Linked DNA regions of Macaca mulatta. The protein of the gene in region 1 binds, or shares a complex with, the protein of each later gene. Links are inferred from orthologs where the notes say so. Each region holds a gene or a part of one and is shown on either strand. Other genes may lie near its edges.

Evidence for each region.
Region 2: MYBL1 (region 1) and E2F4 share a complex: the UniProt entries of both Homo sapiens proteins name them as parts of the DREAM complex. The link is inferred for Macaca mulatta from reciprocal best matches to the Homo sapiens genes MYBL1 and E2F4.
Region 3: MYBL1 (region 1) and TFDP2 share a complex: the UniProt entries of both Homo sapiens proteins name them as parts of the DREAM complex. The link is inferred for Macaca mulatta from reciprocal best matches to the Homo sapiens genes MYBL1 and TFDP2.
Region 4: MYBL1 (region 1) and LIN52 share a complex: the UniProt entries of both Homo sapiens proteins name them as parts of the DREAM complex. The link is inferred for Macaca mulatta from reciprocal best matches to the Homo sapiens genes MYBL1 and LIN52.
Region 5: MYBL1 (region 1) and TFDP1 share a complex: the UniProt entries of both Homo sapiens proteins name them as parts of the DREAM complex. The link is inferred for Macaca mulatta from reciprocal best matches to the Homo sapiens genes MYBL1 and TFDP1.
Region 6: MYBL1 (region 1) and RBL2 share a complex: the UniProt entries of both Homo sapiens proteins name them as parts of the DREAM complex. The link is inferred for Macaca mulatta from reciprocal best matches to the Homo sapiens genes MYBL1 and RBL2.
Region 7: MYBL1 (region 1) and LIN9 share a complex: the UniProt entries of both Homo sapiens proteins name them as parts of the DREAM complex. The link is inferred for Macaca mulatta from reciprocal best matches to the Homo sapiens genes MYBL1 and LIN9.

Annotation. Positions count from the first base shown.
Region 1 is NC_133413.1:77,305,320-77,309,471, reverse strand, and holds the start of MYBL1 (myb-related protein A), read left to right. Parts: upstream 1-1,428; 5' UTR 1,429-1,641; coding exon 1,642-1,661; intron 1,662-4,152. Other genes in the region: uncharacterized protein LOC144330579, read left to right, coding at 351-398, 814-1,428. UniProt on the Homo sapiens protein: Transcription factor that specifically recognizes the sequence 5'-YAAC[GT]G-3'.
Region 2 is NC_133425.1:62,734,175-62,738,151, reverse strand, and holds the start of E2F4 (transcription factor E2F4), read right to left. Parts: upstream 2,801-3,977; 5' UTR 2,760-2,800; coding exon 2,625-2,759; intron 2,500-2,624; exon of another isoform or gene 2,446-2,499; coding exon of another isoform or gene 2,310-2,445; intron 2,226-2,309; coding exon 2,116-2,225; intron 1,978-2,115; coding exon 1,816-1,977; intron 1,508-1,815; coding exon 1,464-1,507; intron 566-1,463; coding exon 504-565; intron 283-503; coding exon 1-282. UniProt on the Homo sapiens protein: Transcription activator that binds DNA cooperatively with DP proteins through the E2 recognition site, 5'-TTTC[CG]CGC-3' found in the promoter region of a number of genes whose products are involved in cell cycle regulation or in DNA replication.
Region 3 is NC_133407.1:44,932,519-44,935,228, forward strand, and holds part of TFDP2 (transcription factor Dp-2), read right to left. Parts: intron 748-2,710; coding exon 642-747; intron 426-641; coding exon 242-425; 3' UTR 1-241. UniProt on the Homo sapiens protein: Can stimulate E2F-dependent transcription.
Region 4 is NC_133412.1:147,266,493-147,270,590, reverse strand, and holds the start of LIN52 (protein lin-52 homolog), read right to left. Parts: upstream 2,801-4,098; 5' UTR 2,794-2,800; coding exon 2,763-2,793; intron 1-2,762. Other genes in the region: ALDH6A1 (methylmalonate-semialdehyde/malonate-semialdehyde dehydrogenase [acylating], mitochondrial), read left to right, coding at 3,361-3,414.
Region 5 is NC_133422.1:107,853,264-107,856,763, reverse strand, and holds part of TFDP1 (transcription factor Dp-1), read right to left. Parts: coding exon 3,471-3,500; intron 2,068-3,470; coding exon 1,902-2,067; intron 1,434-1,901; coding exon 1,290-1,433; intron 807-1,289; coding exon 738-806; intron 1-737. UniProt on the Homo sapiens protein: Can stimulate E2F-dependent transcription.
Region 6 is NC_133425.1:48,916,137-48,920,230, reverse strand, and holds the start of RBL2 (retinoblastoma-like protein 2), read right to left. Parts: upstream 2,801-4,094; 5' UTR 2,694-2,800; coding exon 2,454-2,693; intron 2,163-2,453; exon of another isoform or gene 1,934-2,162; intron 1,821-1,933; exon of another isoform or gene 1,730-1,820; intron 1,620-1,729; exon of another isoform or gene 1,525-1,619; coding exon of another isoform or gene 1,507-1,524; intron 1-1,506. UniProt on the Homo sapiens protein: Key regulator of entry into cell division. Directly involved in heterochromatin formation by maintaining overall chromatin structure and, in particular, that of constitutive heterochromatin by stabilizing histone methylation.
Region 7 is NC_133406.1:84,065,587-84,069,780, forward strand, and holds the start of LIN9 (protein lin-9 homolog), read right to left. Parts: upstream 2,801-4,194; 5' UTR 2,765-2,800; coding exon 2,284-2,764; intron 1-2,283. UniProt on the Homo sapiens protein: Acts as a tumor suppressor. Inhibits DNA synthesis. Its ability to inhibit oncogenic transformation is mediated through its association with RB1. Plays a role in the expression of genes required for the G1/S transition.

The DNA.
Region 1 (4,152 bases):
TTTGACAGTAGTGCATGCAAGCTTCTCTTAATTCAGCTCCGCTTAATTCACTCCGCACCTGCATCTGATTTGCAAAAGATGAAGTGTAAAATTTCAAAATAGCAAGTGTTTGTTACAGTGTTAACATGCGGCTCAGTGCTCTATGCAGTAGACCATGCTGCCTTGCAAATTTTCCTTAGCCAAGTCTAATTGTCACTGTAGCAAATCTACTTTAATGCTACTTGAAATGAACAGTTCGTAGTTATTAGACTGGAACCTCAAGTAGCTGCAACCGCTAGAAACTCCTCCGGTGGTTCCCCCCTCCCCGGTCTCTCCAGAGGAAAGAAGGTCGTCTTCTACACTTAACTACCATGCTTATTCATCTGGACGAAACGCTCAGTCCACTGTCGTCTTCACGGGTTATTCTCCAGTCCGGGCTTCTCCGCCGCGCACGTTATTTCCCGTAGAGCGGACACAAAATTAAGCACCTTGAGGACCAGCGGTAGACACGGATTATCTCCCGTTCCAAGCACGTCTCCCGCTAGGAACTTTTTTCACTTGTCACGCTTCAGCTGCTTTTTGAGGAAAACAGGTGATATTTGGTTTCCTGCCAGTCTCCGTCACTCTCGTGGCTATGATGTCTGGGTAAAAATAGCTCACATTTTTGCTTAAAAAATAACGGCAGCGCAAATTTATGGTTAGGTTTGTCTCAAGTCTGAAAATCGCGCCTCCTAACTAGTGAGACGGAAGACACCTAAGGAGCGAGGAGCTGTGGCCGAGGCGAGGCTGCGGAGACGTTCCCACACTGGGCCGCGGGACCACCCACCTCGCTAGAAACTCAGTCCTCTCACCCTAAGAAGTTTGGGGCAGCTGGATGACTCCACCGCCCGCTTCCGGACCCGCTCCAGCGCCGCTTCCGGACCCGCTCCTCGGCTAGCGCAGGAACTTGCTCTCCCAGCAGGCCCCGCGCGGTGCGCCTCTCGGCGCGTTCCGGGTCCTGTGACAGCTCGGCCCGCATGCCCCACCCGCGGCCCCACCCGCTGCCCCACCCCCTGGCTCCGGGCTCGTTCCCCGACTCCCGCGAGTTCCAGTCCCAGCTTCCAGCTCCCCAGCCCCGCCCTCAGCCGCGCGCGCTCTCCCCGCCCCGCCCCCGCTGCTCCGCGTGCGGTCCCCACAGCCAATGGGGTTCAGGGCCGCGTGCGCAGATTCAAACGGCGGCTCTTGAGGGAGGCTGGGCGCGAGATTCGGCGGTGCGGACAAAACCCTGCAGGAGACTGCGAGCCCTGCAGAACTGCTAGCTGCGGGGAGAGGGGAGGGTCGGCGCCTGTGGCGGAGCCGGTCTGGGACCGGGGCGGGGAGGCTGACAAGCGGCGGGAGAAGCCGGCGGAGGGCGGGATCGCGCCTCCTGACATGTTGGGGGCATCCCTGGCAGGGCCGGGCCGGGGCTAAGAGCGGCACTGCGGGCCGGGGTCGGGGGCGGGTCGCGGTCCGCCCCCGCTGTCCCTCCGTCCTACCCTGTCGAGGACGTGCGTTCCGCACTCGGCAGTCTCCAGAGGGAGCGAGGGAAGCTGCTGGAGAATCAGGGAGAAGGAGCATTCGCCGGAGGCTGGAGGAGGCTGACCCGCGTCCCCGCCCAGCCCGCTCCTATGCGGTACTTGAAGGATGGCGAAGAGGTCGCGCAGGTGGGTGGCACCCCTTTCGCTCAGGCCTGTCGGCGCCGTCTCGACTTAGATTCTCTTTCCTATCCCACTGCCCCCTCCCGCCATAAGGCCCTCCCCGGCGAGGGCAGAGGTTTTTATTCCCGCGTGCCCGCGGCCGCTTGGCCTCGATGGCCGGAGCGCAGCCGCGACGTGTGGAGAGTTGGGGACCAGGGTGTTTGAGGCGCGGGACGTACGAGATGCCCAGGTTTCTCCGTGGCTCTCCTCACAGTGCGTGTCCAGGCTCCTGACCTCACGCTGCCACTTCTTCGGGGCAGGTTTCTTGCCAGGTAAGTCGAGCGCTTTTAGGGAGTTCGCTACGCAGAGAAAACTGGCTGTGTCCTGCCAGGAGGACTTGAAAATGGTGTTCGGGCGACTCTTTTCTGAATGACAGTACAGTCAAAATAGGAACTCCGCGGTGAACCTGGGCAGCCACCCCTCTGCCAACCTAGCTATCTTGAAACGTTGTGGAAAATCCTCTGGGGAATAGCTGAGCGAACCTTTTCGATGTTTTCTGTAATTTCCATACCCATATTCTCAGCTTTATGTATATATGTATATTTTAATATCCTCTATTGGGACCATGTCACATAGTAACAACTAGTAGTAACAGCTAGTAGCTTGATCTTAAAATAAAACAATGTGTTTGATTCACTTAATATTTTGAGTGTCTGTGTTTGACTCTGACCGTACCTAAGTGTTGCACAGAGGTAAAGCACTTTTTTCCACCTTTGCCTGGAAATGTGCTAGGATGAATTTATGTGTCTACTTTTTGTTTACATGCCATTACAGCAGCTACTCATAAATTATGTGGAGTAATTGCTTAGATAACAAAAATATAGGGTGTCTTCTGATTTTCAGCATTATCAGATAAACCTGAAAAGATGTTTGGCAGAATTTCCAAATTTTTTTTTATCTAGATCCACAGCCCCAAAATCTTAACTAGAGATGTGTTTCCTAAGTTGAAATTTAGTAATGGGGGTCATTCACTGCAGAGTTCTGCTAAAAATTGGCAGTAACTATACATAATTGTTTTTTGCTTTGTCTGTTAAATATCTGCTGTGTGCAGGATGCTTCTGCAGAAATCCTTAAGTCCCGGTAAACTTACTAGTTTTGTACTAAGTTATAGGACAAACCCTTGAGATGATATAAATGTATACACAGACCCCTCTAAAACTGTTTTCAACCTTTGCACTATTGACATCTTGGGCCAGATAATTCTTGTAATGGGGAGATGTTTAGCAGCATCCCTGGCTTCTACCCAGTAGAGATAGGAACACTCCACTTCCCTCAGTCATGACAGTTAAAATGTCTCCAGACATTGCCAGATATATTTTGGGGGACAAAATCACTCAGGAAAGAACCACCCCTCTAGAACTTCAAGGACCCAATTAACATCAATCTTCAGAAAAGATAGATATTTAAACCTCTTGTAATTATGATTGCTGAAGTACTGGTTTAGGCTTTTTGAATTTTTAAATTTAAAAAAATGTAAAAATAAGATGACAATTGAATATGTTAACTCAATAACAAGTTTATTAATGTGTGATATCTACTTATCAGTATTGCTGTTAATCTTATTTGAAACAGTTTCTTGGCTAATTCTGTCATCAGCATTTAGTTAAATTAAAATTATGACTAGACATGAATGTTTAAATGTCAGAACCTTCCCCTCCCCAAAGGGTTTTCTGTCAATTTCATATGTATGAAGTGTATGTTTCATAATAATAGACAAAGGAGAAATAACTTAATGTTAGTTTGCCTATGTAAGTTGTTTTATTGAGAATACTGTGAGCTTGAAATCTAAATATTGTACTTTTGACATTTATCCCTTGCCAGTTGTGTAAGTTAATTTAAACATGATAGAGTGATTTAAAGAGTCAAATCTTGAGTAATTAAATGTGGTGGGGTGAAGCTACACTGTCCCTGGGAGTATACAGATAGAGGATGTGGGAGAAATTATCATCTCTGAATGATGTATCTCTTAAGTCTTCATACTTGAATGTGTTTCATACTCTAAATTACATTTCTTGCATACGTAAATATGATTTACATATCTTAGACGATAGTAGATGCTCTGCTTTTGTGCTTCAACCAAAAACAAAAGAAGATAGCATGTGAATTGTTTTGAAGCAAAAATAATGTAGTCATTGGGAAAAATCTCTCTTGCCTTTTAGCTAAGTATCTTAATATATTTGAACTCAATTTATAGCTGAAAGGGAAAAGAAATAAAAGTTACTTCAGGTTGTAATTTGAGATCTCCAGTATACAACCATTTAAGCGGTCAAGTGAAAACTATACTTTGCTATATAAAAGTTTTGCCTAAGAGCATAGGCATAAATCCTGTAATATACGTTTCCTATGTGATCTGAAAAAAAAAAAGAAAAAAGAAAACCTAAAAGTAGAAAACTAAGTGTTACCTCAAGTGTGAAACAACTGCAGGACGTTAGCTGTTTTGACCTTTAAGATAGCTGTA
Region 2 (3,977 bases), on another chromosome or scaffold:
GCCAGCCATTCCCTGGACTTCTGCGCTGCCGGGGACAGGAGTGGGAGTGAGCTGAGGACTATTTGGACGTGAGGCTTCCTGGGATTGGGACTGGGCTAGGGCAGGCTTCGGCAGAGGTGGAGGCGTGGAAACAGCAGGTGGGTTCTGGAGCAGATCTTCAGGTGGTGGCACAGGCACAGCCACAGGGGGTGAGCTCCATGCCTCCTTGTTCACCAGCAGAACCTCAATGGGACCACTCACACTCTTCAGGTGAATCTGGTACTTCTTCTGCCCATTGAGACCCTAGAGATGGGTGGTAAGGGATGGGAGATGGGTAGAATTGGAAGCAGGCTTGGCTCCTGCCCGACTCTGTCAGGACCAGTGTCCTCTCCCACCCAGGATGCCCATCCTCCTAGATAACCCCAAACTCCAGGCCTCCCCTACCTGCCCCACCCGGGACTTATCAGTCTCCACAGCCAGCACCCGCCCTCAGCTGACCCCGCCTGCCTGGGCTAAGCACCCACCTCTGGGATGGGCACCTCCAGGCTGGTGCCTGATGGGGCCCGGATGGCCAAGAGGGTATCTCCTAGAATGACATGGAGAATGGGTCAGAGCCCATGGGCTCAATCTGAGCTGGGAACAGAGGTGCCTGTCTTTTGGAGCAAGGCAGGAGATCATGGTCTCTGAGGGACTAGACAGTGGACCTCACCCATTCCCCATAGTGGCTGGGCAGAGCTAAAGCTCTTCTCTTCCTGAGAGCCCAGAGTCAGTAACCAGGAAATCTGGGTTCAAGTATGTGGAGTCAAATATCACTGGCCACAGGCACCTCACTCTTCCACCGATGGCTGTTCCCTAGGTGAAGGTATTCTAGCCAAGGCCAACATCCCTTTCCCATGACCAGTCAGGAGGATACATGATGGAGAAGAAACACATCAGCGGGGCACAGTGGCTCACACTTATAATCCCAGCACTTTAGGGGGTTGAGCGGGGAAGACAGCTTGAGCTCAGGAGTTCAAGACCAGCCTGGCAACATAGCAAGACCCTGTCTCTTTTTAAAAAAAAAAAAAAAGGAAAGAAAAAAAAGGAACATATCCTGCATTCACAATGCAATTAAACTAACAAGTTGGAGGTGGGCACCCCCATGCCCTGCATGTAAGAGCCTGCACACAAGCAAATACACACATATCCTCTCTCCCTTTCTCCCCCTTGTACCTCTATCATACTCAAGAAGCCAAATCCAGGAAACAGTACAGTTGGGAACAGACCCAGGAACCCACTCCAGAATTCCTGTACCCTCTTGGTATAGCTGACCTCCACAGGGTCCCAGTGACACTCAGACAGAAGACTTACCCTGCCTGGTTCCTCTCTGAGCAGGCCCCAGAAACCCTCTTAAGAGACGGAACTCTCCTGAGACACTGAACCCAGTGCTCAGGGATTTGGTTGAGCCCAGCCCACCCCCTCACCCCTACCCAGGCTCTGCTCACCAGCAAAGCATCTGCAGATGTCCTCATGAGTGACGTAGGCCAAAGTGTGAGGGTTAAGGAGAATGGCCGATGCCCTATGGTGACAGATGGCAGACTACAAAAAAGACCCAATTCTTTAGCCAAGGTCTGACACAGAGGCCCCTCAGAGAAAGTTCTGGGGACTCAGGTCCACTGGGGGAGGGATCACAGGCTAAGACTGGAAGGGGAGAGGCTCTGAGGAGGGAGCCTGAGGCTGGGCCATGGCCAGGGGCCACAGGACAAGCTCCCAAGAGGAACAGGGAGCTTGCCCAGGGCAAGTTGAACCAGAGGGCCCCTTGCCCACTCCCCCCAGGAGGGAACGCCAGGAGGATATCAGCTGTTCTGCACGTCCTCTGTGACGTTCCGGATGCTCTGCTGCACCCACACCTTGTGCTGGTCTAGTTCTTGCTCCCGCTGCTGCAGCTCCTCGATCTCTGCCTTGAGCTCAATCAGCTTGTCGGCAATCTCCCGGGTATTGCAGCCAGGCCCCACACCCCTGAGCCCAGGGAGTGGGGCTGAGAGGGACTGCTGAGAACTCTGGGTCCCACGGCCCCTGCCTTCTTTGGCACCCTCCACCCCACCCCCGACACTTCTGGGTGGGAGACTCTACTACCCTCCCACTATCCCCACTCACTTCCACTGGATGCTGTTCTTGGACTTTTTCTCGATCAGCCCGATACCTTCCAAAACATTGGTAATGTCGTAAATCCGCCGCTTCTGGCGTACAGCTAGGGTGTCAGCTGCCTGGCAGACAGAGTGGAGAATGCTCAGCCCCACTCTCGGGTGTACCCCCAGCCACCCTGAGACGTGGTCTGGGAAGGGAGTAACCTGGATTCCAACCCTGTAGTGCCTGCCAGGCGCTACTGCAGCTCAGGCCCGCAGCTCTGTCCCATAGGCAGCTCTTCTCCTCGCCAGCCAGGAAGGGCCACGAGGACGAACACCTGGAGCCCCGAGCCTGGCCCATAGCTGTAGCTCAATGGCCTCGGCCGAATGAATGAAACATTCCCCGGCTTCTCTCCTGTGAGAAAGCACACGATGGCGGCCGGCTCTCGGAGGACCCAGCTGGGCCGCCCCCGGGGTTCCCGCTACCGGCCCAGGCCTGGTCCACCATCCTCCCTTGTCGCCCCTTAGCCCGGGCCGCACCAGCTTGAGGTCAAGCACGCCGTCCTTGGCCTCCTGCAGAAGAGACACGAACTTGGTGGTGAGTAGTCCCAGGCTCTTTTCGTGCCGGCTTGGAGTGCCCGGGGGCGGCGGCGCCTGCGGCCCGGCCTCCGCCATCGCGTCCGCCCGCCGCCTCCCCTCAGCCAGGCCAGGCCAGGCCGGCGCCGCCGCCACTTCCGCTTCCGTTCCTGGCCGTCCGGCAGCCGGAGCCAGCGTTGCTGCTTCCGCTTCCGCCCCGTGCGTCTTCCAGGGAACGCGGCGCTATTGCTGTCTGTGGGTGCAACCGCAAAACTTCAGGGACCATTAGCAAATGTCCAGCCGCCGAATAAGACGAAAACTACCTGGGTAGACCGGGAGTTGGGATGAAGTTAGGGAGGAATGAGGAGGGCGTCAGTGGGCAGCCCTGGCAGTAGAGAAAGGGATGCCATCGGAACTTTCCTTGCCAATCTGCCCCAACATCACTAACTCTGCCCAGTCCCCATCTCGGGAGACAAGACCACACTACCTGACTAATCCAATCTGTTCCCTCAAATCAGTTCCTTTTAAATTTTTTTCTCTTTATTTATTCTTTTATATTTCAAACTCATTTTACTGCCACATCAAAAATGTTCCTAAAGGTTCCCCTACTGTCTTGGGGTCACCCCATCTATTCCTGTCCCTCACTTCCTGCCAAACAGCAAGCACTAACTATATCTACCTTGTCCACCTCTCTCCATCCATGGTCCTAGCCTCATCTTTCGCTCATCTTGTCCTCCCGCTACAGTGCTCAGAGACTATGGGGTTATATACACTTCAGCCAATGCAAACGTATTTACCTATGTGTATATATCAGTAAAGCACTCAGAGTCATTTCTGGCATGTAGGAAAGTTTGCTAGGGTCATTTTGTTACTTGTAACATTGTTACTATTTATTATTGTTTCTTTTAGGTCAGGTTCTATGGGAAATGGGACTCGAGACAGGGTTTTGCAGCAAGTTTGTTGGGGATCCACACTTCTTTTTTTTTTTTTTTTTTTTGAGACAGGATCTCACTCTGTTGCCCAGGCTGGAGTGCAGTGGCAAGATCAATGCCATCTCAGCTTCCTGGGCCCAAGCGATTCTCCCACCTCAGCCTCCCAAGTAGCTGGGACCACAGGCATGCACACACCATGCCTGGCTCATTTATTTTTAGTTTTTGTAGAGATGAGAGTCTCACTATATTGTCCAGGCTAGTCTCGAACTCATAGGCTCAAGCGATCCTCAGACCTCATCCCAATGCTGGGATGACAGCGTGAGCCATCACACCTGGTCAGGATCCACACCTTTAAGGGAGTAAGACAAGCAGAATCGGGCAGATG
Region 3 (2,710 bases), on another chromosome or scaffold:
AAAGCATGCTTTGTTTGTTATATCATCTACTGCTCTGTTGGCCAGACTTTCATTCACACTATGTTAACTTTCATCTCAATCATCTCAGCCTTCATGTGATTTGCTTATTGTGTTTCTCTAGTTTTCACTGAACACACAGTGCAAACAAAGGCAAAGACTGAAGCAATCATTTCAAAAACAAGAGCTCACACTACAAACACACATGAGCATCACATATTGAAACGTAGGCTTTCTCTTGTCTTTATTCTGGGGAGGAGGAATCCTCCTCATCATCTTCCTCATCTTCATCATTGAACGAACAGGGGGTCTCGCCTCGGGACTCGGAGCAGTGAGAGGCTGCACTGCTGGACTGGTGACTGTTTGGGGCCAGGAACTGCCCAGTTGCTAAGGCCACTTCTGCATCCAAGCATAACCCTTGGTTTACACTAGCAAACAATTAAAAACACACAGGCTCATTAATGTGGTATAAACAGTTTTGTAAAATATAGGAATAAAAACATAGGAAGGAGGTGCCATTGGTGAGATCTGCCACAAACCTGCTCAGCAGGACCTGTGCTGGCAGTAACATGACCCCGGCTCACCCCTACACAGACAGTCAGGGCTCTGGGGTTTGCCTTTCTAACCCTGAAAAAAATACGTACCTTGACTGGGGTAAGGTGGCACCAGTGTTCAGGTCTAAATTTGAAACTGATTGGGTAGAGTTCAGAAGTAGTCCCTGATTTAACCAAGAAGGTCCTGTGGAGATATCTAAAGGAAAAAATGAGAACAAAAAATGTCGGTCCTGCAAGTTTTGTGGCTGCTGTTGTTACAGTCTGAAGAAAGCACAGAAGAGCAAGAACTAAGCTTATTCTTCATGACAGCGAGACAATTCTCTTGCTGTGAGAAGAACCCAGGTTTCTTCATCTTCTTGGAAGAAAAAGAAACTCTAGAACACAAGAGCAGGAAAAAAAAATACGGGAAGGCAGCTTATGGAGAGAAGGTATTCAAATGAAAACACTCACAGGCGCTTTCTTACTCTTTTTCTTAGATAAGCCCTCCAGAGCACAGCCCATGGGATGCAGCCCAGTGTACCATCCTCAATGCCTGGGCTGCCCTCACCACAAAAGACCTGGACTGTGGTGTTGACAGCCAAAGCCAGAAGTGGGAAAAGAGAAAATCAAATCAGAAATACATGAGGTAAGAAGGCCACCCTACATAGAGGGCAGACAGATCTGTTTTGGCCAAAACCCCTGCCGCAGTGTCTTTTCAGGTGCCTGCTGCTGGTGAACTCAATGCTGCTACTCATCAAATACCTATTCTTTTTCCTGACAAGATTTTTCCTGGTATCCTTTGCTTTCTAATTCAAACTAGCTCTTATTTTTAAAAACTCACATGCAGTCATGTTTTTAATGAGGTGGAGACAGACATTACTGTTTTAGTATACAGAAAATATTTTGGGCTGGGCACAGTGGCTCATGCCTGTAATCCCAGCATTTTGGGAGGCCAAGGCGGGCGGATCACCTGAGGTTGGGAGTTCAAGACCAGCCTGTCCAACGCGGAGAACCCACCTCCACTAAAAATACAGAATGAGCTGGGCGTTGTGGCGCATGCCTGTAATCCTAGCTACTCGGGAGGCTGAGGCAGGAGATTCGCTTGAACCCAGGAGGCGGAGGTTGCAGTGAGCTGAGATTGCACCATTGCACTCCAGCCTGGGCAACCAGAGTGAAACTCCATCTCAAAAAAAAAAAAAAAAAAATTTTTTTTATATCTCCTTGCCATCTTCTTTTCTATACATATACCACATTTCTCCTATGACAACACTGATCAATTCTTATTGTAATTTTACTGGTTTAATACTTCTAATCTTCCCATCTACAGTGTCAGCTCAAAGAAGGCAGTAACTGGAACATGTAAGATCTAAATGTGGCCAGGCGCGGTGGCTCATGCCTGTAATCCCAGCACTTTGGGAGGCCAAGGTGGGCAGATTGCTTGAGCTCAGGAGTTCAAGACCAGCCTGGCAAACATAGCAAAGCCCCATCTCTATTAAAAATACAAAAATTAGTCAGGCATGGTGATACACGCCTGTAATCCCAGCTACGAGAGGCTGGGGCAGAAGAATCACTTGAACCCAGGAGGTGGAGGTTGCAGTGAGCCTAGATCGTGCCACTGCACTCTAGCCTGGGTGACAGAGCAAGACTCTATCTCAAAAGAAAAACAAACAAACAAAAAAACCCAAAAAAGTTACTGAATGAATGAGTATAGTTTTGCCAGCTGCCACTTTACAAAATAAGTGGTAGATACATTAAAAGTAATTCCTAAAAAGAAATTATATAAGCCCAAACACATACTCAGAAAATGTAATCTGCCAAAATGAGCTATGATTTAATTTAGTCAAAATCTTTTTGCAATTACTGTACAAAAAAATGAAACTATATGATTTAGATTGGAAACTCTGGTATCCAAACAAGAGGCCATTCCCATATAGGAAAAAAGTAAACTAAATGACTATGCTAATTTTAAAACCGTCTTATGAACCTTTTTCTTTGAGACAGCTGTGGAAAAAAAAGACTTCAAGCCTAAGAAGAATAGCAGACTTTAAATACATTAAATAACAACAAGTCTGTACAAGAAAATAACATTAATGCCAGAATCCTGTGCTGAATATTAATTAGTATATAGAACTATAGAAACCTTCTGTCAGAACACAACTATTTACTTGTTTGTGAGCATA
Region 4 (4,098 bases), on another chromosome or scaffold:
CTGGGCATGGTGGTGTGAGCCTATAGTACCAGCTACTTGGGAGGTTGAGACGGGAGGATAGCTTGAGCCTTTGAGGGTGCAGTGAGCTATAATCATACCACTGCATTTCAGCATGGGCAATAGAGTGAGAGAGACCCTGTCTCTAAAAGAAAATTTTAAAAAAAATTATTGGGGGTACAATCTAATAACCTACATGGGTGACCTTATCCCACAGTCTGGGATAGAACTCAGACTCTGCTGTGAGTCTTACTCTCATAAATTAAGTAATTAGATGGCTGTATTTGAATTTCAGTTTTCTCCTTTTCAAAGAAGCTCCAGCAAATTTATCACGAAAAAGACAAAAGAGTAAATGACAAACATTTTCAAGTCAATGTTATCTGAATTAAATTTTAAAGACAGTGACAGGTGGAACACTAAAAATAGAAGTGAGAGAGCTAGGCCATGGAATATTTTGGAATGAGATACTTACTGAGACGTTGAATTTAAGTTCAAAGTGCTTGACTTGATTTTTTCAGATTAAAAGAAAACATTAGGTGGAGAGGAGTAAAACTTTGTAAGAGATGAGAATGAAGACTTTTAAAAATCAAGAGTGCAAATAAAGTGACCATAGGGATGGCTAGAAGACCAAAGGAAAAAAATTTAACATTTTTAATACTCTTCCTGGCCAAAGAAAGGAAACTAAATTGAGAGAAGACAAGGAAAAAAAAAAACCAAACTCAAGGAACACATCTCTAAAATCCCCAAAATTTGTAAAAACAATTTTAAAATAAACTAAAAAATTTAATAACAATTACCTCTATTTCTATCACTTGGCTTTTTAAAAAAATTGTGGTGAAATATACATAAATTTTACCATTTTAATAACTTTTAAGTATAGAGTTCAGTGGTATTAAGTACATTAATTGTGCAATCATCACATTCATTTCCAGAACACTTTCACCTTCCCAAACTGAAATTTGGTACCCATTAACAATAACTCCCTATTCCCTTTTTAAATGCCTTTCTTTCTGGCGAGAGAAGGACATTTTTGCAAGAGAGCACCCAGGAAGGAGAATCTCTTTTGACTCCAAACATCCAAATTTCTTGTTTTTCCTTCTTTTTTTTTTGAGACGGGGTCTCGCTTTGTCACCCAGACTGGAGTGCAGTGACATGAACATGGTTCACTGCAGCCTCCACCCCCAGGCTCAAGTGATTCTCTTGCCTTAGCCCCCCAAGTAGCTGGGACTACAGGTGCACGGCACCACACCCAGATAATTTTTGTATTTTTTTGTAGAGATGGGGTTTCACCATGTTGTCTAGGCTCGTCTTCAACTCCTGAGCTCAGGCAATCTGCCTGCCTCAGCCTCCCAAAGTGCTGGGATTAGAAGTGTGAACCACCACGCCCGGCCATAATTTCTAACACAGTATGTACCTGTGCTCACAAAATTTAAGACTCGGTTAAACGTAAAACTTAAGATCAAGTAATATATTATTTCTGCACATATCTAATCAATCTTTCAATACATGTTAATTAAAGACCTACTGTTCGTCAGGCACTGTGCTAAACCTGGAATCCAGCTATGAACAAGACAAACTTGTAATTTATAATCTAGCGTACAAGGGGCAAAGTTAACATAGTAACTATGCTGACAAGGAAGATACTGAGGCAATGAATAATGGTGGGGAAGGGCAACTCCAGATACTGTGTTCTAAGAAAGACTCTTTGGGAGGTGACATCTAAAAAGAGAACTGAAACTGGAAAAAAAAAAAAAAAAAGTGTGTATGTTTGAGTCATCTTTTGGTCTCCCAAAGCACCTAGCATTATGCCTTTCATGTAGTAGGTACTCAATACAGCTCACCTTGGCTTCAATTTCTTCATTCCTGCAATGAACTTCCAAGATTCCTTCCAAATACAAAATCTGTTTGTCTAAGGGAGGGAAACCTATATATCAATAAAATCGATATATAGTTGGGATGCGGATGGTAGAACTAAAAATGAGTTTAAAAATGACTGCAAGACCCTCTCTAAAGCAGAACCAAAAGCAAAAGCATGGGAGTATACCAAAACAACTTGTTACTTGAGATGACTTGCATTTTACACAACATATAAACAGAAATCGTTCATTCACTCAGCCTTAAGAAACAACACGTAAAGCAGATGAAAGAGCGGTTGCGACCTGTGCAAGACAACACTTAAAAGCTCAATACTCATTCTCCTCGCGACTCTCTCGGCGAGGGGCCGAGAACGTCCCCCGCTTCTCTTGCTGCCACGGCAATGGTCCCAAACTGAGGAGACAGGAGAGAGATCATGTTTCTCTTGCGGTTCACTATCGAGATGGGGTCAGCCAGCAGCCCCTGCGAGGGTTTGAGAATCGTTCCATCTGTGCGCTCAATCAGAAGAGAACTGATCCTTTCAATGGGATACCCCAAGGAGAAAACTACAGTAAGGCACGTCCTCCAGTAACATCTCCTCCTCTACCCTCAGCCTCGCCCAAATAGAGATAAGGAAGGGCCAGGGCGACCCCTGTCCTTTTACCCAGAATGAGTCCCTCCCTAGTGCCCTCCTCCACACGCCTGGTACAGAGCAGGGAAACTGGGCACCTCTGAAGCTGCTGCGAAGAACCGGTGAGCTGAAGACGGCGATGGATCGCAAGAAAAAAAACAAAAGGGAAAGGAGAAGAGCCCAAGAAAGAAATGTATGTTCGAGGGGCAGAGACAGAGTGGATGTTCCCCATACAGCAAAGAAGGAGGCTGCAGGCAAACATCCCTAAGCCGGCTCTTACCGTCTGTGGGAGACGCCATCTTCCAACCCATGTCACGTGACGTGGCCAACCGTCGGCGGGAAAACGAGGATCCATAAGCCACGCCCCCAAAGAGAAACCCTATCCCCAACTCGCAGCCACGTCTCATTCCCTCGCCTCATAGGGCAATCTTCGCCCAGCCCCTCCCCTCATCATAGCCACGCCCCTTATGCAGTTGTTGAGGTGGAGCGACAGCAAAATTCTTGGAGGGTCTTATTTACTTTGCTCAGTGAAGGGGTGGGGCCTCGGTTGCGTCCTTGGCCAATCGGAGTTCCAGGTTAGGGGGCGTCTCCTCCGTGTGCTCAGTATGGAGTGTCCAAGTCGGGGGCGTCTTCTCTACCTCCGCCAACGGCATTGGCTGAGGTAGGAGAGGGTGCGAGCATTTTCGCTCCTGACCAATCACTTATCCCCAGGACTGGGGTGTGAGAGGAGGAATCAGGTGTTAGGACGAGTGATTGGCTGAAGAAAATAGTCCTCCCCACCAATGAGGAAGCCCGGCAGGATGGAGGGCTAGGCCTGGCAGCTGTAGTGCGTCTGAGCTGTAGAGGAGCGGGTTGCGGAGCTAGGGCGGCCGAGAGCCATGGCGGCGGTAGTGGCGGCGGCGGCGGCGGCAGTGCGAGCCAGGATCCTGCAGGCGAGTGAGGGTGGCGCCAAGGCACCATGAAGCTAGGAATTGGATCCTTTCCGTCCGCTCCCTGAGCCGTCCTCGGGCTGGGACCACCTTCTTGGCCCAACCCCTTTTTGGCCGGACCTCCTACCTAACCTGTGGGCCCTGTCCCATGCCCAGCCCTCACTTCATACCCTCCCTCGTCCCGGATCCAACCCTGGGCTGTTACCCTTGGCCCTCTACCCTTTTACTCCTAAGCCTCCTCTTTTCTGGCTCTCGCCCACTCTCCTTCTCCAGCTCTGCCCGCTCCCTGCTGTCAGTCTCTTGCCCTCATCTCTCCATCCGCCCACCGTCTTTCCCTTTCACCTCTGCACCAGCGTTCTCTCTATCCCCCAGAAACTACTCTTTTTGGTTATTCTGTCCCCTGCCTTGAGCGTCCACGTTGCCATTGCTCCCTTCCCCCACCCTACTTCACTGTCCGTGGTGATCCGAGGTAAGAGGGAGGGGGAACGTGAGGGGCGAGGGTCAGTGTATGAACTTTGAATTTTCTTCTAGAAGTGGACTCTAGATTTTCACCAAAGGCAGCCATTTACCGAATTATTTTCCCTAAGTGTGGCTCTTTGTATTTTCCATAGACTGGCTGTCCCCTTTCTTGCCAAAACTTTCAGTGAAACTTTCTCTCAGCCAAGTTAAACAGTTTACATAGATAGG
Region 5 (3,500 bases), on another chromosome or scaffold:
CGAGTCTCCATCACCATGGCTGCCACACCATCCCCTCTGGGAGGGCTCGAGCACACCTCGGCCAGAGCAGCAGTCAGCTCTGCACTGAGCACCTTGCACACGACCCCCTCCACACCAGACACGGGGCCCCCAGGGGTGCCGCCCACCCTCAGCACTCAATGGGAGGTGGGAAAGGCCAGCTCCAGGGCCCTGATCAGCACTGTCAAGACCCAGGTGCATTGCGCCCACCACAGTTTTACATGCCTCGCCTGGCACCTGGGCCTTGGGTTAAGCACCTCTGAGGGGATTTTTCAAATGCTGCTTTTGCATGAAGTCATCCCTCCATCTGTCTTTTGGCTGTTTAGACACTGTGACGAGGGATACACACATACACATGCACACACACAGGCACATGGATGCAGGCACACACACGCAGGCACGCACACACATGCGTGCACACACACGCAGGCACACACGCAGGCATGCACACACATGCACACACACAGGCACATGGACGCAGGTGCACACACACATGCACACACACACGCACGCATGCATGCATACGCACACACATACACAACCTCGCTCTGGGAACACGGCCCACATTCAACACCTATGAGATGAACTCACACTCAGAATCTTAAAGCAGTCATTTAATTTGCCACACAGGAGCGTAACCCAAGGCAGTATGTTGCTGTTATAAAACTAAATTAGTAAAATAAAAATTACCCTGCCTCCAAAGATATGTATTCTCTTACCTGTAGAATAAGTTCTTGAAGTTGAGACTGTTTCTGTTTTATTCTTTCAAGTCTCCTCTGTCTTTCCACCTTCAAAAACAAACCCCCCATGTAGAGAATCATCACGATTGTTCCATACAGTGCATTTTACAACCCGCATCCTCAGTGTTACCTATGTTTACCTTGAATGTAATCGAAGGGATATGGACAAATCTAGACATAGCAGGTGCCACAAAATACAGGTGAGTTTTTCTTCCATTTCTAAACTATACCTTTTCCCCTCTCCTCTCATTTCTTGGATTTAACTATGGTATCTAAAAAGAAAACAAAAATCCCACAAACTAGGATTCACAATTAACCTATGCTAGAGTTTAACACACTCTAGTGGGTCTGGACCAACCATGCTCCCTCCCCTGACAGCCGAGACTGAGAAACGCAGGGAGACGTCTGCATGACCGTCTGCCAGCCGTCTGGACACAGAGAGCATAAGGGCATGGAGCCCAGACCCTTCTGAGTGACGGACAACAAACACATCTACACAGACTTGAAGGGAAATCAAGGTTGAAGGGCCACCTCTAAGTTCTGACATTCCTGAGCCGAGTTGGTGGGCAGACCAATCCACTTGATCTCCTTCTTCTCCTTGGAGATGATGTTCATGGCCATCAGCACGTTTAAGGCATCGTAGACGCGCCGTCTTATGTTCTTCTGGTCATAAGCCTGCGGATGACAGGGAGTGGATTTTCCAAATGATCCAAAAAAGCCTGTGGATCCCACCTTAAACTGTAGGCCACGCGCACCGGCTTGAAGGGGCACCCCGCTCACAGAGCTGTCACCCCAACACGTCCTCAGGGAGCACTCCCACCCTACAGATGATGCAGGGCAAGACAGGGCTGTGCGAATCCCGGTGTGTTCCAGGAGGGGAGCTGGGGGCCCTCTGGTGTCGAGCCCAGCTGGCGAGGAGGGCACGTCTGCATTTCTGGGCCGCTGGATGTGCAGAGCCAGCCCACGTGCTCGCTCACTGACGCTGACAGAGCATCATGCCAGCAAATGGACTGGGAAAAATTCTGTCATGCTGTACTTGGAATTTTCTGTATGGTTTTAACTGTTCCCAATATTAAAAGAGTAAAACGTGCCACACCACTTGGTTCCGCTACCCTGGCCTCTCGGCCCCCAGCACACACTTACTGACTCGTTTGGTAAGATGTGGTTGTCGGCAGCACTGAACTCCGCGACCAGCTCGTCCGCCACTTCGTTGTAGGAAGTGGTCCCTTTCCTCTGCACCTTCTCGCAGACCTTCATGGAGAAATGCCGCAGGCCCTTGCCATTCTTCTCTCCTTTCCTGTTGCGCTTCCTTCAAAATACAAAGGAAAAAAGAAGCGACTGTCAGCCCTCCTGAGCATCAGTCTGAATCGAGGAATGCTTTTACCTGAGAGCTCTAATGAGCTGCACAAAAAGGGGCCACATCCCACGGGCGCAGCAGATCCAACACGTGAGCAGGCCAGGACCACCTAGCCCCAGCCCCCAGGCCCAGTGCTCCTGCAGGTCAGAAAGCGAGTGTCTCCCTGGCAGGCTGCACCTCTGTCCTTCCAAGTGTCAGGGAAAACGGGAGGCGTCCCCAGGACCCGAATCAGCATATGGAAGGCCTATCAGTACTCAGCATATGAGAGGCCTATCAGTACACCAAGCACTTCTTTTTTTTTTTTTCTTTTTTGAGATGGAGTCTCGCTCTGTAGTGGGCTGGAGTGCGGTGGCACGATCTTGGCTCACTGCAACCTCCGCCTCCTGGGTTCAAGCAATTCTCCTGCCTCAGCCTCCCAAGAGCTGGGATTACAACAGGCGCCCGCCTGCCACCACACCTGGCTAATTTTTTTGTATTTTTAGTAGAGACAGGGTTTCAGCATGTTGGCCAGGATGGTCTCAATCTCTTGACCTCATGATCTGCCGGCCTCGGCCTCCCACAGGGCTGGGATTACAGGTGTGAGCCACAGGCATCACTTTTCTAAAGAGGGCAACCAGAATCAGGAACTATGGGACATTTCAGTGTACATTTGGGAATTTTTAGGACAAATTTCAGCAGGCTATAATTTCATACGGCTTGGGCTGTGATAGCCGCTTGACAACAGGTGCAAACCACTAAGTGTTCTTCACACAGAGGGAAAGCCCAACTCTACACTCTGGTCAGTCCCCACGTGGCGGGAAAGGTCACCTGCGGTCCCAGCTGGTGAAGCTTTGGGCACCGACACAGGTAGGTTTTTGTAGCTTTGCATGTGTGTTTTTTTAAGGAAAGACACAGCTCATCAGATCTTGCTTTAGTGGAAGGAGCCACTCTGGTGGGACCACTCACGGGGGCCGTAACCCCAGGGGCAGTAGAGGCTGCATTCAGGGGCAGTGGGTGAAATCCATCCCGCGTGCTCCCAGCACAGACGATGAAAAGTCTCCAAGGTCCTGTGGCAAGTACAAGGCCAGCTTCTCCCCGTCTTGGCCAAGAGCTGCCAGCCCTTCCAAGAGCACCCACTACACCAGACACAAAGCAGGGTGGGCAGTGCCCAGCCCGACTTCTCCGTGACCGAGGCAGTGCGCCTCGACTGCACACCTGTGCGGGGCACGATGATGGGTGAGTGTGATTCGGAGGCTGACATCAATGCGCATGGGAGCCCCACCGTGCGACTGTGTCACGCACGTGGCCCAGGAGAACGTGGAGGTGCGAACCGCAAGCAATCCTACAACTCTAAGGGTCCGGAGGGAAGTGCTCACCCGGCAGACCAAGGTGAGGAGTCGGAAGGC
Region 6 (4,094 bases), on another chromosome or scaffold:
TTCTCTACTCTATCAAGATCTCTTAGAAAGTATAAAGTTAAGTCAGTCATAGCATTATCCTGTGCTTCAATAAAGGGTTTAAAAGATAATCTATAATGTTCTATTTTGGCTCTAGAAAATTCACAACTACTTGGATGGCAGAGAGAAAACAACAACAACAAAAAAAGAAAGTCTACAACTGCATCTTTCCTAAAAAGAAGAAAAGAATTAGTCTTGTGAGAATTTTACCGTGCTTAGATGATAAAACGGAGCGGGAAGCTCTTTTAAACAATTTATGCAAAGAGTAGACTCTGCCTAGTTTATCTTTGGTCCTAAAAAATATTTGTTGAAAAATTCCATAATACTAAAAAATAGTTATCCTCAAAATTAACATCTCGTGGCCATATCTTATAGGGTCAAATAGATCTGGTTTCAAATTCTGGCTCTGCCATACAGTAGCTGTAACACAGTGGGAAAATTACTAAACAGTCTCAGAGGCTGCATTTTTTTGGCTGAGGACTGTAAGAATGAGTTATAGGTTAAAAATGCACAGAAAATACAATGAATCAAATTAAATTTCCATAACCAGTATTCTGTATTAAATATCATAAGAGCTTTATTTCCCCTTACACTCCCATGAGAATGACATCCCACATTATCTCACAGCGTAGCTCACTATAAGCCCCACAAAGGCAGGTATTTTTAGGCTTTGTTTGATGCTCTATATCCAGCACTGAGAACAGTGTGTAGCACTGAGAACAGGTGCTCAAGAAATATTTGATGAATATTTTACTGAGTAAATCATTTACTGAATAAACTGGGCTAAGAAGCTGAAACTAAAGTCTCAGTAATCAAAAGAATTGAGTAATCAAACATGTGTTTTCAAAAATAATTTACTAACCAGCTCTTACGTGGTATTTGCTCATGTATCACTGGACTTCATACAACTTAACCACTATGAGTTGACATACCTCAACTAAATGGTGATAACGCTTGTTCTATCTAATTTACAGGATCATCCTGAGGGTAAAATAAAAGCTTGTTTAGAAGCCTTTAAGGCCCTTTACCAAAGAAAAAAAAAAAGCAAAAAAAAAAAAAGTCAACCAGTCCTTCTCTTTGCCAGACTACAGAAAGGCACTGAGAGACGGACAGGAACATAGTTTACTCAGCCAGATCATGTAAATATACAAAGAGCTTAGGAAACTTGAAAGCACCGTCCATATGGGTGCTTTATGTGCCAGAAACTACATTGTTGCCTTATTTAATCTTCAGAACAGCTCTGTGAGGTAAACACACATATCTCCAGTTTAGAGATCACAAAACTCAACTTTCCAGCGGTTAAGTAAATTGTTCAGTCACCCAGGTCTGTCGGGTTCTAAAGCCACCATACACTATCTTTCTTCTGCAGATATAACAATTCAAAGAGGGAAATCGTAATTGAATCAAAATTCTATTAATGCAAATACAAATTTAAAATAACCTCACTCATCAGTACACATAGCCAAAAACATCATATTTAAATAATACCTTGGTTAGGCTTTGCATCCTGGGCCTATTTGCCCCCCTCTTTATCCAAAGTAATTATAAAACTACTTGAGAAATTAAATGGCCTCAGGTTTAAATGCCACACACACACAGTAGAAGAGCTGATAAACAATCCGTACTTCCGTGTCACTTCCCATTGGCCCATGAAAGGGAGGTGCCTACAGAACTAACAGTCACTGGCTAGAATGGCCATTTTTCTCATCCGCAAGCCCAGTCCGAAGGCTGCGACCTAACACGCCCGGATCCCGACAACAGGAGTCCTGTGCAATGCCCGGGGTGACCAAAAAGCCCTCGAGGTAGCCACAATCCTGAGCCTAGTGACAAATGGGAGCATGTATCTATATACGGGTCGGCGGAGGGCTCATTTCATGTGGCCTGGGGGAAAATGAGTCTTAATTTGTTTACACAGACGTAAACACAGACCAAAACGCATCAGCTCGTTGACTCTAACGCCAGCAACGTCTGGGCAAAGGCAATTTGGTTAACAGGGGGAAGCGAACAGACGGAGACGCCTGGAGACCCAGGTGCCACAGCCCGGTTAATCGCGGTGCAAATAAGGGCAAGTCCCCTCCCCTTCTCCGTGCGGTCTTGATAACGACACTAGTTCATTCTACTAACAAGGCGGGCGGGGGGTCAGATGGGCCACACACACCCATCTTCCTCATCGGGACCCCAGCGCGATCTCAGCTTCCCTATGTTACTTTAGGGCAAAACGCGTTCCCCATTCGGAAGCCGCGGGGAAGCGCGGCGAGAGCAGGTTCGCCCTCGGAGCGGCTAAGTGCCTCGGAATAGCGCAGAGGGGGTCCCCACGCCTCTCCCGGCTGGGATCCCGCAACCCGCCCGAGGGTCTCTCGTGGCGCGCGACGCGGCTCGGAAGGCACCGGTTCACGCCGACTAGGCCGGAAGCGCCCCTCCGCCCGCGAGCGCACCTCCAGAGTGTAGCTCTCGCTCATGCTGCGGTAGCTGTCCCAGGCCTCGGCCCGCGCCGCCTCGTCCATGTTGAGGCGGCTGCACAGCTCGTCGAACCGCTGCTGGATCTGAGGGGTGGGCGACTCGTTAGGCGGCGCGGCGTCCTCCGCCTCGCCGTCGTCCTCCTCCTCCTCATCCGAGGCTGCCGCCGCCGGAGGAGGAGGCGGGGGCGGCGGCGACTGGTCACCTCCCGACGGCATAGCGCACCCCTGGGCAGCCGGACCTCAGGTGAGGTGAGGGCCCGGGCCCGCAGCCATTCAAACCGCGAAGCGCCCGCCCGTCCGCCGCCCGCTCCGCGCCTGCGCCTGCGCCGCTGCCAACGACGCTGACCTCCTGCAGGCACCCGTAGTCTTGAGCACGGCCTGCTGGGAAATGTAGTCCAGGCCGACGGTTCAAGGGGGCCAAAAATCATGTTTAAAAAAATTAGCTCGCCTAGTTTCACCAGGGGTGAAATAAAAGCACCTTCCCCGCATTTTAAGCACATACCTCCCCATCGTGAGAACATTCAACAGGGTTGTACTGACGAGAAAATGTCCAAAAGACACTGACGTGTGAAGGTTTCGCATCCAGGCTGTTCCCAGAAGTAAAACTTCCTCATCGCCTGGATATCCTTATCTAAAAAACCAGGATAATAGCAAGGGCCTGTCTGTGTACCTTCACGAAACTGCCTTTGCAAAAATCCTAACAGTGAGAAAGTTACCACTGGGAAAGGGATCTGACCTAAATGACTCCATGCTTCTCACCTCCGAGCTGCACTTGTTCATTCCCAGGCGAAGACCCAACTAACTACAGGAGGAATTTAATTTGTAGTTTCACTTTGAAGCAAAGATTTTTACAGCGCTTTCCCAAAACAAACCCCCTTCTTGCCTGAGGATCAGTCTGCCTTTGTAGAACTAACAAATTAGCCACAAGATTAGAAATTATGATTTAGGAGTCTTGCAGCCAGAGGCTACAAGATTCCTAACCTCCCCAGTTGTTCTCAGGGATAACATCACTATTGTAAAACCTAAGATTGGTGCTGGAGATACTTTTCAGACCCCGCATTCCGATGCATGAGCTGGCGCCACTCAGACCATAATCTGGCTCAACCAGTTCTACAGTCCCACTCAGAAACAGAAGACAGCAAGAGCCCACTTCAACCCCCTAAGATTTCACCTCCCACCTGACAAATTAGCATTCGCCACTCCCTGGCCCCCTACCCGCCAAGTCATTCTTTAAAAACCCCAGTCTCCGAATTTTCTGGTAGCTGACTCTGAAGGGCAGACAGTCCTTTTTTTTTTTTTTTTTTTTTTTTTTTTTTTTTTAATTTGAGACAGAGTCTGGCTCTGTCGCCCAGGCTGGAGTGCAGTGGCACGATCTTGGCTCACGGCAACCTCCGCCTCCCGGGTTCAAGCGATTCTTCTGCCTCAGCCTCCTGAATATCTGGGATTACAGGTGCGTGCTACCGCGCCCGGCTAATTTTTATATTTTCAGTAGAGGCAGGGTTTCACTATGTTGACCAGGCTGGTCTCGAACTCCTGACCTCAAGTGATCCGCCCGCCTCGGCCTCCCAGAGTGCTGGGATTACAGGCTTGAGCCACCATGCCCGACCAATTCATTTT
Region 7 (4,194 bases), on another chromosome or scaffold:
CCCTCCTCCAGTTTCATTAATAATACCTGTTACTTTGCATTAATTCCATATAAATTAAGTATTTATGTATACTTGATTTGTGGCACTGTATAACAAAGAAAGAAAATCCCTGGTTTCAACAAAGCTGAAGTCTGGTTAAACAAGATATACACACGAATACACATCAATGTACCAGAGATGTCACAAAGTAATATAAATGATTAGGTTATATTAATTTGAAAGTGGAGCTGGAATTTGAACCCTAATATAAATCCCAAGTCCCTACAAAGAACCACAGTAAATTCTCAATAAATGTTGGATGATATGAAGCAAATATTCCCAACGGCAGTTGTAAGAAAGCCACATAAAACACCTCTCATTACAACAGAATGACTGCAGTAACCAAAATAGGAGCTCTAGTGATTGTGACATCCAAGAGGTGATAAGACATCTTTATGATAAAGATACCAAGGATGACGAAAAACATTTTCGGATGACAAGTACACTGTGCTTAGTAGGTCCACACTCATTTGGGAGCATTCAAAGTCACAATCAAGGCCAGCCACGGTGGCTCATACCTGTAACCCCAGCACTTTAGGAGGCTGAGGCGGGCGGATCACCTGAGGTCAGGAGTTCGAGACCAGCCTGACCAACATGTAGAAACCCCGTCTCTACTAAAAATACAAAAAAATCAGGCGGGCATGGTGGCTCATGCCTGTAACCCCAGCTACTCGGGAGGCTGAGGTAGGAGAATCGCTTGAACCCGGGAGGTAGAGGTTGCAGTGAGCCGAGATAGCGCCATTGCACCCCAGCCTGGGCAATAAGAGTGAAACTCCATCTCAAAATAAATAAATAAATAAATAAATAAAATAAATCACAATCAATTGTATTCTACAAATAAACAATACAACTCATGACTGGTCAATAGCTGTTCCCTATCCAATACAGTGGCTACTAGCTACATGTGACTATATAAGTAAAATTCAAAATTCAGTTCCTCCATCACTCTAGCCACATTTGAAATGTCCCGTATGGCTAGTAGCTTGGCTACCCTATTGGCCATCACAAAAGAGAACAGTTCCATCACGGACAAAGTTCCTTTGGTACTTAGTGCTGCTCTCTATCAAATTTAAAACACAACACTTTTAATACGACTTTTCACCAGCTTGGCAACTTGAACTTTTATTTTAACTTTATAACTTATTAAGAATACATGACCTCACAAAGAAAATGGAATCGGTATGTTGAGTTCTCTTTTTCAAAGTCCATTTACCTTGTGCATAGATAGATTCAATAGTGATTGAGCCTTTCACAAATATGTATAAACTGAATAGTGAATGTGGATTCAGGACTTTTTTGTAATTAACTAACATATTTGCCTTTTCATATAATTTATGCAATACTGTAAATTACAAAAGTTCCATTGCCCTTAAACTACGGAATTGGTGCTTTTACTTACTCAACACAAGTGAGTATACACGTCTTAGATGTCAGGGTGAGTAAACACGGATAGGTGAGGCAATGCCCTAGGGTGGGTGTCAGGCAGGGTACTGCACATGTACGCTGTGTTGGTCACATCCATACATAAAGGTACCTTCATGGCTCTTAAGACACATATAGAATAAACTCTGCGGGACGGGGGCTACCTGAACACTGAGTATCCGGGCTGGATGATCTCAGGAAAGGTCCACAGCCACCTGTGGTCCCAGGGGAAGGGGCCAACCCTCTGACACGGAAACACTTCCAGGGGTGGACACACCGGTGGGGGGGCGGGGAGGACAGTGAAGATCACAAGTGCCCGTAGAGGCAGGAGCTGTGACAGGACAAGATCAGAAGCTGGGGCAAGAAGAAGGGGCCGTGGACCACACCGTGCCCAGCCCGAGCCCTCCCCCGGCCCCGGGACAGGCGAGTTACATAACCCCGGCGGGCGTCTCTCGGCGCCGGGCGAGTGGTGCAGGCGGCGAGGACAGCCCCCGCGCCCGGGGGCCGCTCTTCCCCCCACCTCGGCTGGGGGCCGGAGTCGGGCCAGGGGAGCAGCCACCGCCTCCGCCTGGCACAGGCTGGACTCCCGGGCTCTCGGTTTCCGGCCCTGGCGCTCACACAACCCCAGAAACCAACACACAGACACCATAACAAAGGCGGCGACGCGGCGGCAACACCGGAGTGGGAGGACTAGGGGACCACAGTGGGGCTGGCAGTCAGCCCACCTGCCCAGCGGAGGGCACGGCCGTCCGTCCCGGCCGGTGCAGCCGTGGGGCAGGCAGCAGGCGGGAAAAGGCGGGGGTGCTTTGAGGTGCTACTCACTCTCGTCAGGCAACTGGTCGAGCTCCGCCATCTTGAACGAGCCGCGCCGCTTTTTCAAAGGCTGCCCGCCGCGGTGCATTGTGGGGCGGAGACTGTCTTTGCGAGGGAGGTTCGAATGCGGAGCTCGCTGCCCGCGGCGCTGCGCCGCGCTGCTCCCGCCGCGGCTGGCTGAGGCGGGCCGGGCTCCGCCCGCGCCTGCCTGGGGAGGAGGTGCCGCCGAAGGGGGGCCGCACCTCGCCCCTCCGCCGCCGCCTCCGGCCGAGCAGGGCGGGAGGAAGGGAGAAAGGAGGCCGCGCGGCGAGGCCCGGCGCCGGAGCGCTGGGGGAGCAGCACCAGCTCCGGAGTCCCGCCCGGGCCCCGCTCCAGGCGCGTGTTCCGCGGCCCGCGCTGCAGCTGCGGGAACTGCAGGCTGTTTGTTCCGAGTGGAGAACTGGAGGGAAGCCCTGGCAGGGGGAAAGAAGCCCTCTGTTCTGGGACGCATTGTCCGACGGGGCTCTACGCAAAGTGAAATATTCACGGTTCCCGAAACCCATATTGCTCGGGCGCCTCCGTCCCCTCACTTTTCCCGAGAGCGCCGGCTGCAGCAGCCCACTGCGCGTGGCGACGTCCGGGACTCGGCCCCAGCGGCCCCTCGCCGGCCGGGCACGCCTTTCCCGAATGTTGGAAGCTGAGCTGCGTGCAGCGGGGGAGCGAGACCTTGAGAGGTCATGAAGTTGGTCATTTAGGCCGACAGCTAAAGAACTGTTCTGCTCAGCTGTTTCATCCATTCGACACTAGATCGTGCAGTGGGCTGGAAGAGAATTAGGAAAGGAAAAACAGGAGGCTTCGAGAGGATACAGAAAGGAACAGTGACACTACAAGGTGATAAACTACCTGATCAAATGTTACGATGATATTGGACGAGAATTCAACGAAATTGAAAGAAGCCCTAGGAAAAAAATTCACAATATCTGTAACACTTTCCAGTAATAAAGCACTGTTGCTTTTCAAAAATTCATTTAACAAATGTCATTGAGCTCCAGTCCTTTTCTCCAGGAATTTATGGGTTTGGAGGAATGGGACCGCTAAGCAAACATGGGTGAATCCCAGGAACTACAAAGTTAAAAGGCGGTTTACTAAGATGACACAGAGGCCCGCCCAGGCTAAGGAGTTGAACTTGCTTAGTGCACTGGAGCAGTGGAAAAGTCGGGTTTTACCTAAAGATGGGGTATGTTTCTATTTGTGTTTTCGAACAAAAATATGGGAAATGGATTGGTGGGGGACAAGATGAGAGCCTAGAAACCAGTCAGGAAGAAGCTTATTTGGGGCATACAAAGGACAGAAGAGAGATGACTGCACTGGTAGCTAGAGAGGTGCAGAGGGTGGGCTCTGGAGCCCCAGGGCCTCGATGGGAAGAATCCAGATGGGCTGCTAGTTGTATAATCTCCGGCACGTTGGTTTCCTAACCGAATTCTCTGTGCCTCAGTTTCTTATCTGTAAAATGCAAGTAACAGAGTTGTTTTGAGGGCTAAATGATTTGATAGATGTAAGGACCTTATAATAGCTGCTAACACCCATCAGTTAGCCACTACCACCACCATCACCACAGCATAGGCAGTATTAGAGAGAGGTGGCAGCATGCACTCCACCTTTCAAGACGTGGAAAATAAAGGATTGAGTGAGTCACTGGGTGTGAGGAGAAGGAAGTTTCATTGCTGATGCCAGCTTTGTGCCTTGGGTAACTGGGTGCTGCTATGCTAAGGTAGGAGGGAGAGCAGGGAGGGTGAAAGTTCAGTTTTACAAAGTAATCCTTCAGAGCTAGCTTAACCTCTCCTTTGCCTTCTAAACACACTCTGATCTGCTCTCTAAGAAGATTAAAACACTGGTCCTTGTTGTCAGCACCTGGGGGGCGGGCTGCAGCAGCTTGCACTT